Linked DNA regions of Oryzias latipes. The protein of the gene in region 2 interacts with the protein of the main gene of each other region in a biochemical or structural test. Links are inferred from orthologs where the notes say so. Each region holds a gene or a part of one and is shown on either strand. Other genes may lie near its edges.

Evidence for each region.
Region 1: the proteins of tert (region 2) and tpp1 form a complex in vitro, tested with the Homo sapiens proteins (2 studies listed by BioGRID and IntAct). The link is inferred for Oryzias latipes from reciprocal best matches to the Homo sapiens genes TERT and TPP1.

Annotation. Positions count from the first base shown.
Region 1 is NC_019880.2:11,941,747-11,946,172, forward strand, and holds the start of tpp1 (tripeptidyl-peptidase 1), read right to left. Parts: upstream 2,984-4,426; 5' UTR 2,897-2,983; coding exon 2,886-2,896; intron 2,524-2,885; coding exon 2,449-2,523; intron 2,074-2,448; coding exon 1,934-2,073; intron 1,861-1,933; coding exon 1,710-1,860; intron 1,387-1,709; coding exon 1,265-1,386; intron 1,031-1,264; coding exon 861-1,030; intron 783-860; coding exon 584-782; intron 1-583. UniProt on the Homo sapiens protein: Lysosomal serine protease with tripeptidyl-peptidase I activity. May act as a non-specific lysosomal peptidase which generates tripeptides from the breakdown products produced by lysosomal proteinases. Requires substrates with an unsubstituted N-terminus.
Region 2 is NC_019869.2:25,702,112-25,706,419, forward strand, and holds the start of tert (telomerase reverse transcriptase), read right to left. Parts: upstream 2,906-4,308; 5' UTR 2,664-2,905; coding exon 2,448-2,663; intron 2,149-2,447; coding exon 888-2,148; intron 813-887; coding exon 620-812; intron 544-619; coding exon 390-543; intron 320-389; coding exon 152-319; intron 69-151; coding exon 1-68. UniProt on the Homo sapiens protein: Telomerase is a ribonucleoprotein enzyme essential for the replication of chromosome termini in most eukaryotes. Active in progenitor and cancer cells. Inactive, or very low activity, in normal somatic cells.

The DNA.
Region 1 (4,426 bases), on a different chromosome or scaffold from region 2:
GGTTGGTCCGGCTGCAGCTTCGCAGGCGGCTGCAGTTCAGCGATCCTGCGGTTTCCTCAGCGGCTAGATGAGGGGATCAGGCCGTTTACACGGTTACAGAATGATCCAGGAGAGGTGACCTATGGAAGGACTGCGTATCGCTTGGAACTTGGACTTTTGTTTTCTTATAATAAAAAAATAGCAGATGTCGTTATCACGAGAAAACAGGCAAAAAAAAGTAGGGTAGGCTGTTTTTGGCTGCCATTTGATACTAACAATTGCATTAATACGAATAAGTGTCTTATTTTTCAAAGGGGTGAAGTAAAACTTTGTGGCTCCTACTTGGTTGTGGTGATTAAGTAATCGACCCGAATGGCTCTTTAAGTGTTGAAGGCTGTAGAACCCTGCACTAGGAACATCGATTTTTAATTTCAAGGTTTTTAGCTTCATCTATCTTGTTGGATATTTCATGTTAGGATATCTTTGTGCTTCATTTTGTGGTTCCTTTTTAACCACTAATAGATTAATCCATTCCAATTCAAAAACAGAGATATGTACACGTTCGCCTCCTCGTGTTCTGAGATCGAAAGCAAAGTTTAAAGACCTGGATTGGTGAAGACCCAAGTAGAGATGTTTGCTCCTGTGCTCATGATGTATTCTACATCCAGACTGGCCTCCAGACCCGCCTTTCCTCCACCTTGGGTACCAACAACTCGATCCACCTGAGACATATGCGGAAACGTCCGGCCAAACAAGTTCATGAACTCCGCCAAGTCTGCGGGGTGGAAGTACTGCTCCAAGAACTAAAAAGAGAAGTGAAAACCTGTTTAGAAAAATGTAAAAGTGCTTTAACCAATCAGAACTTCATCTGAGAGTCGTACTTGAGCGACAGCCTGACTGTTGTTTTGAGCTGATCCCACATCGGCTGCCGTTAGATTGTAGCGAGCTCTCAGGATGGCAGGCGTCACTCCGAGATGCAGCCCCGCTTTGAAGTGCTGGCGTCTCTCTCTGGGTTCCTGGCTTTTCGGTGGGAAACGGTGAAGACCTCCAACTGCGGGGTTTCAGAACCAATATTAGCCCTGAACCTTAACCCATAAGAACCCAGAGCCATTATATTTCGTACAAATAAAATTATGACTATTTTACCACAAACAAAGTGGACCACAGAATCCATTTCTGATATTTTTCTGTTGCACTGATGTCATCATGGGTTCTTATGGGTTAAACTGAACCAACAAAATAGTTTCAAGGCAAAACATTTTGTAGTTGAGAGAAATGTCATTACCAAAATCAAGGTGTGGGTGAACGTCATCATGAACCGAGTACGGAGCTGAGGATCTCGTCAAAGACTGGCCGTCTCTGATGTAATGATGGAATCTGCTTCCTTGCAGTAGCTTTTCAGCAACCCTTTAGAGAAAAAAAAACAACAAAAGCCACTTTAGTGTTGACAACAAACAATAACCTCTACAAGAAAAATATCAGTTATGATGACTGATAACTTAACGAAGATGTGCAATTTTAAAGGTGTTTCGGGTAACAACTCTGACCGAGATCTGATCTGTGATTTTCCGTGAACTGAGAATAAAAATTGATTTTTATGAACCCCAAAAGAGGAACTGTGTCACAAGACAAAAGGGAGAAGTGTTTTTATGTGACATTTCCACAGAGATGAAGGCCTATATCTGTGATGACTGCAGCTTAGCGGTGTAGAAAGAACAAAAATAGCTTACTCTGCAGTCATGGTGCATTGCATAAAGTCCTGAGTGTGAACAGTGAGGCAGTTTGAAATCCCATGACTCTGCAGCCAGCGACGCACCACCTTCTGGGTCACTTCAGACGGTCGCACAAGCGAAGCTACTTCCTCCAGGCTAAGATATTTACCTGGGGAGCAGGAAGTTGTGACCCATGATTTGGAAGGTTCGAATGAGATTTGTGCAGGCTAAAGCTTGCTTACCGTACTGAGCTGAGTCTGGGTCTGACACCAGTCTGAGTGTTTCCTCCAGCAGATGAACGTTCTGCTGCTTTAGAGCGAAGGTCAGCTCCAGCTCCTCTGACGGGTCTACTCGACCCGCATGGGTCCAGCCCTCTGGAATCCTGCAGATTTAAAGCATTTATAAATGATCAAAGGATGATAGAAATAAAAATTAGAAAAACAGCCAGAAGGTGATCCTATGGCTATTTTTTAAATTATTTTTATTTCGCACCCAGCTTTTTTAAATAAACAAAAAACTATAAAGAGAAGCTCTAAACATCTGAACAGGATGAAATATGGGTATAAATTAGTGATGATTGTTAATTTATTTACTTTTTTTTTTGTCTGATATCTATTATTGATAGTTGCCCTTTCAAAATAAAGCTAATTCTAACATAGTTGATCTGGAGGTCTCAAACTAAACAAAAAAAAGTTCACAACAGAACTTGAAAACCACAAAAAAATCTAAACAACAAAACATTTTAAATGTTGCTCACAGGACATCTTGGTCATATTCCAGATATCCGCTCCAAACCAAAGAGCTGAATAAAAATGGGATGGAGAAGAAAAGTCTGCAGAAGTAGAAAAAACAAAAAAAAAACCAAGTTATTTTAGTGTGAAGAAAATTGCAGCCCACGTGAACCCGGAAGCTCCGAACAGCAAATCACAATATAAAAGTGTATTTTAACGTTCTGAGTAAAAGTGGATCATGACAAAAAGGTTATTTCTGAACACATAAATATTGCTTTTATCTATGCTGTTCACGATACGATTCGATTGTGCTGGACTTTTAAGGTCAGCGGTGGCTGAATGTGGGTCACCATGAGTAAAACACTCAAGGTTCCGCGCGGTAAATCCAACTGTTACATATTTAACCAGAACCTTAATATTTATGTATAATACGCGTTTTAATGAAACTATAGGAAAGACTCACAGAGTTTTCATCACGTCCTTGACTGTCGCTCCTCGGCTCCTGTCGCTTACGCTGCGGACGAAGGAGTCACGTGACGTTCTCTGCACGTGATCCCGTTCCGAAGCACCCCCTCCCCCTTTTTTTTAAATAGCGTTATTTTTAAAATAGTCTACATTTACAATAATTCTGGGTTACTAAAGTAAATAAATGATTATTTAAAAAAATAATTTAATTAAAAAGGGGAAAGGCGCTGTGAGACCTCAAATCCTCAGAGGACAAGAACAGCAGCTTTTTGGAATAAGTTTATTTTCAGGAATCAAAATAAAAAAGGAAATACTTAAAAAGACAAACACAAAAGTATACATCTATACACAGACATATCAGACTTAGGACAATTAGTCAGAATTTGATAGGACAAAAAAGTAATAAAAAGATACACATCCATTTATATACACAGGACTAAATGACGCCCTTATATAAGCACATTTGCACTTACACGCACAGCATGACACATTCAATCCATTACATGTTCAGTTTGTCAATAAGAATTTGATTAATTGTTTAAAAAAGAGTAGAAGGAAGCTCCTTCATTCATTTATTCATCTTCTAAACCCACTTTGTCCCTCTTGGGGTCACGGGTTGCAGGGGCCAGGGAAAGCATCCTGGACAAGTCGCCAGTCTGTCACAGGGCCACAAATCACACACCCATACACACTCACACCCATAGACAATTAGAGTAACCAATTAACGTATGAAACATATTTTTGGACAGTGGGAGGAACAGGACAAAAACCCACAAATGCCCAGTGAGAACATGCAAACTCCACACAGAAAGGCCCCCCATTAGTGTTCTGTTTCGGCTATTTTTTTTATACCCCCACCCCTATTATGCTTTGTTTGAGTTTTTTTTTACATACTTATCATTATCCGTCTTATAATTTCTAGTTATAGTTATTTATACTTTACCAGTCCAAATGAGAAGAATGTTGGTGCCCCATCCACCCGACCGCCCAACCACCATCTGCCAGGCCTAAAGTAACCGTGTGGTGCTGCTGCAATAAATGTCTGACTTTTACTTTGCAAGAAAGAGATGTTACAAACGTGTCTGATCTTTTTGCTATTTTAGGTTGTGGTCAGCAGAAACGTAAAGAAGCGCTGTGAGGTCTGTGCACCCAAGAAAACTCAATAGACATGCAGCAAGTGGAAAAAATACTTGTACACGATAAAACTCTGTCCCACGTTTTTGTATAGGCAGCTGTTTTTACCGTTTCGTGTCGAGTTCCAGTGGAAGTTCAAATGAACAAAAAGCAAAAGTTGTGACATCTTGCTTCATTTGGAAATTTGTTTTTTTCCCCCACTCACTCCACTTGATTACAACGGATTTTCTTTGTTTATTATTTTATTAAAAACTAGTTCCACAATGATTCATAAATGTGATCTAACTAGGGTTTTAACTGCTTGCTGAAGTTAACATCTGTTACATTTTTCAACATAAAATTGTTGGATTTTGTTGCTTTGAAAACCCCAAATCTCTAGCAGATCCATTAGACTCATAAACCCCA
Region 2 (4,308 bases):
AAAGCCTCGGTGATCACCTCCTTGAGTTTGTCGTGCGGCAGACTGTCGTAGGCGCCGCTCACATCCACCTTCAGCCCAACCCACAGGTGAGCCCGTCAGAGACGGGTGGAGAAAGGAAAACATCGGATGTTCCTGGAAGGACAAGGTTCACCTTTACAAAGTAGAGCGGCTGTGGTTTGTCCTTCTGGGCTGGTGCCAGAGAGCGCAGCACTTTGTGGATGTCCGTCATGCCCCAGACGGTGGAGCCCAGGAGCGCCGGAGCGGAGCGCACACGCGCCTGCAGCATGCTCATCAGGTCACGGATGCGCTTGTGGTGAAGCTGTGGAGAAGGTCACGTTTAGGAACCCGGCATGCTAAGAGAGGACAGAGGAGATCTCGTCTGTGTGCACCCGTGTGTTTGAGTCTGCCCCGATGACCCGTGTGATGGGCCTCATCCCGTCCGTCTTGGGAATGAAGCGGAGTTGGGAGATGACCGTGCCTTTGGGGAGGGACGCCACCTGAGCTGGGCTCAGCTCCTCCATCTCGCCTTTAGCGATGTGCCTTCTATCACATAAACACAGGTATGGTTCCAAAGGCTGATCCGAAGGCGAGGGGAGGTTTTGTGTTGGAGAGTCTGAACCTGAAAGCCAAATCCTGGAGTTTGCTCCAGACCTCCTGCCTGTAGAACCTGATGGCGTTCTTCTGTCCCACGCTTTCTGTGGCGTAGAAGCAGGCCCGGACCAGGCCCACGACAAAGCCATCCAGAAGCCAGGTCAGAAACTGACTCAGGATCCGCGTCCGGTAGGCCAGCTCACTGGGGGGGAAGCGGCCTGCTACAGGAGATTCAGAAGAATCTTTCATGAAAACAGCAGAGGAACCAAACAGAAGATCCTCTCCAATCCTCTCACCTGTCCTGCGGAGCTTCAACCAATCACAGTCCATCACCTTTATCTTCCACATGAGTTCCGCCACCGAGATTCTCTCAAACTTGCCGCTCTTCAGGAAGCCTCTGACTCTGCTGAAGAATTGGAGTCGGTTGTGGTCGGAGCCCCACAGCTCCTCAGGGACGACGGCGGTGAGGCATTCTCTGACAAACAGGTAGACCCGATGCGGCGCGCAGTGCTGAGGGATGAGCGAGCTCAGCTCCCCCTGAGCCGCACGGCTCAGCTCAACCACTGGACACATCCGGTGCAAAACGCTGCTGTAGCGACACTTTCTGTGCCTCTGCAGCAGCCGGCCAAACACCGGGACCATGTTAAAGTAGCGCAGGGGGAGTTTCTTCGGCTTCCTCTCCTGTCCGTTTAAATACGGCAGACCCTCAAAGAAGACCAGTCTCACCAAATCCTGCCCCTGTAAGCGCCTGGGTCCAGCAGCGGTTCTCCTCTTCCTGTTGAGACAGAAGCCGTGCATGCCACGGCCGCCGTAAAGGAACCCCAACGTGCGGATAAAACACTGGGAGGACGGCAAAGGCGGGAACGCCCCCGATCTCCAGCTGGGACCTCCCTCCAAAGGCGGAGGAGCTGCTGACGTTTCAGGAGGCGGCTTGACAGCAGCTGCATCGTTTTCTCCAGACTTTCCTGAAAGTGTTGACTCATCAAGAACGGCTTCATGCTGCCGTCTCTCTTCATGATGAACGCCGCGCCTCCTTTCTCTTGATTCCTCCTCCTCAGATTCTCTTTTTCTTTTCCTCGTGCTGACTTCACTTTCCACTCTCCTCCTCTTCCTGCTTTCCTCCACATCTCCAACGGAGCCTGTCTTTGTCAGGTTCGCTGAGCGTGTCTTCTTTCCGACCTGAAAACTTTTGTGTTTCCTCGACGGAGGCCGGAGAAGAAACCCGCTGGAGGCGGTGGTCATGGACACTCTGTCATACGCTGGAACGCCGCAGATCTGGAAGACGCAGGAAGGAGGTGCCAGCACGAAGACGGAGCAGCTCCCCAACAGGTAGCGGGTGACGTCTGTGCCGAGGCGCGCCGTGACCTTCTTCCACAGGTCGCTGCTGTGGATGTAGGCGGCGCTTTGAGACAGATCTCCCTGGAAGCGGAAGTGGTCTGCATCCCGGTCCTCCTGTGCCACACCCAGGAAGTTGTAGCCGTGGGCCAAAACATTTCTCCTCCTTTTCCTTTTCAGGCTGTTGAGGATAAAAGCCAGGAGCTCTGGAAACGTGCAGGTCTGAGGAGGTTAAAGAGAAAACATGAAGGAAAAAAAAGCGGGCACGTGTCCAGGAAATTTCCAGACGGAATTTAGTCACAAAGCTTTGTCAAAATTTAAGAGATTAGCCCAAATAAGAGAACAATTAGCACCATATTTCGGATCAATAAGAGTCATGGCACAGCCAGTTTTATTAGTGAGTATAAATACGTTATTACGGTTTGATGCTACGTAACACTTCAGATAAATTCAGAAATGTTCGTGAAACCAGCAGAGAAAAGAAATCAGATCTTCTCCAGAGATTATAACGGGATTATTACCTGATTACAGCTCGGGACGTCCTGCAGCTCCTCATCAGAACACACAAACACTCCCCGAACGAAAGACTTAAAGCTGTGTGTGTCCGAAGGTTGAAGCAGCGCAGCTCTCCGTCCCTCCCTGAACACAACGCCGTCAGCGAACTCCTCCAGCGTCCGCGTGCGTTTGTAGAGCGACCGGAGGATGTTCAGGACGCTCGACAAATCCCCGGATGTCATGACGTCTGAGTACTGTGGACGTTCTGAACGTCAACGTTACAAACGGACTTTTTTTTAGCAACTTCGGTGACTTCTACATTGCAGTATGGGTGATTCAAGGACCCGCGGTGTAATCATAGCCAATGATACATCACAAAAAGTGACCATATCCAATCAGACGTCGTTTTATTGAAGCAAACAAGTCCCCGGATAAAAGCAACCAATCACATAGCCTCTTACTAAAGTAGCTTTCCTTGTTGACCAATAGAAAACAAGAAAATGTATGTTGTCATTTCAGCATACATAGAACGAACATCAGTGCGTTTTACACTGCGAGGAGTGGATTTTCTTCTGTTGGTTTTCTGTTTAAAACAAACTAAATAGATAAAAAGATAAATAAATAAATAATCTACCAACACTCAGAAAACATTGTGATGTCATTTTAAATAGTTGTTTTTATTTTGATTTGTTTGCATGTTTATTTTTTGCTGCATGCCTGATGTTTTAAGTCCCTCAGCAAAATGTAGTAAACCTGCAGTTTATTTTACCAAGTACATGCTAAATATAGCAAGTACAGACCATCTATGTGTAGTGTGGGAATTATCCTAACTAAATACCAATAAATACTCAGATTAAACTGCAACATTTTAAATTTACAATAGATTGTTTGTTCACCATTCAGCATGTCCCTTCAGGGGTCGCCACAGAGAATTAGCTTTCACTGATTCACACAGGTGGTTTTGCAGAGATTTTTACGCAGAATGCCCTTCCTGACACAACCCTGTGTGTTATTGGGGCTGGGGACGAGCACAGTGGGAAATTTACATTATAAAGATAGCACATTAAAAGTAGACTTCAAGAATACGTCCTCACCTTTTGTATGGACTACCAGTAAGTATAGTATACTTACACAGAACACTTTTTGCTCAGAGGTAATTTAGTTGTTTTCTTACATAAGTTAAAGGTTTTCACAACTGTTATATTTTTAGCCAAGAAGAATTTAAGAACAGTAATTTTTTTGTTGTTGGCAAACTGTAAACACAACAAATGATGTTACTGAAGGTTCTCTTAAAGAAGTGTTCTTTCTTTTTTCAAATCAGTTCAATTCAAACAACTTTATTTGTCCCAGATGGGCAATTCCTTTTGAAGTTGCAGAAATAATTTTTTGGGGGGGAAAAATTACATCATGTAGATCCATTAAACAAAATTGACAACCCTAAAAAAACACACATTCTATGCAGTACTATAGTTCTTTGATATGGACAAATGTTGTTTTCCTCTTTTTTGTTCTGCATCTAGGATGGTGAAATCTGTGATTTTTATTCAGGGCATTCAAAATGTTACTTACATTTTCAGAATTTCCTTCTGCATGAATTATTGATTTAGTTTTCTGAATTGACTGACCAGAAGTTATTTATTTATGTTTCCAATTTGCCTGATTTTTTATGCTCTGAATAAATGAGAAATGTTAAAACTGGTACTTAGAACTTGATTACCTTTATTTCTCAGTTACTTTTTAGTTTTTTTCCTCAAGTCACTGTTCTTTACTTGAGTAATCATAAAGTTACATTGATTTTTTTGAGTACAATTTTAAAAAAAACTTTGGAGATATAAGACTTTTATTGAATTTGAATTACTTCTGTTCTAGTTGTGAATGTAAACAGTT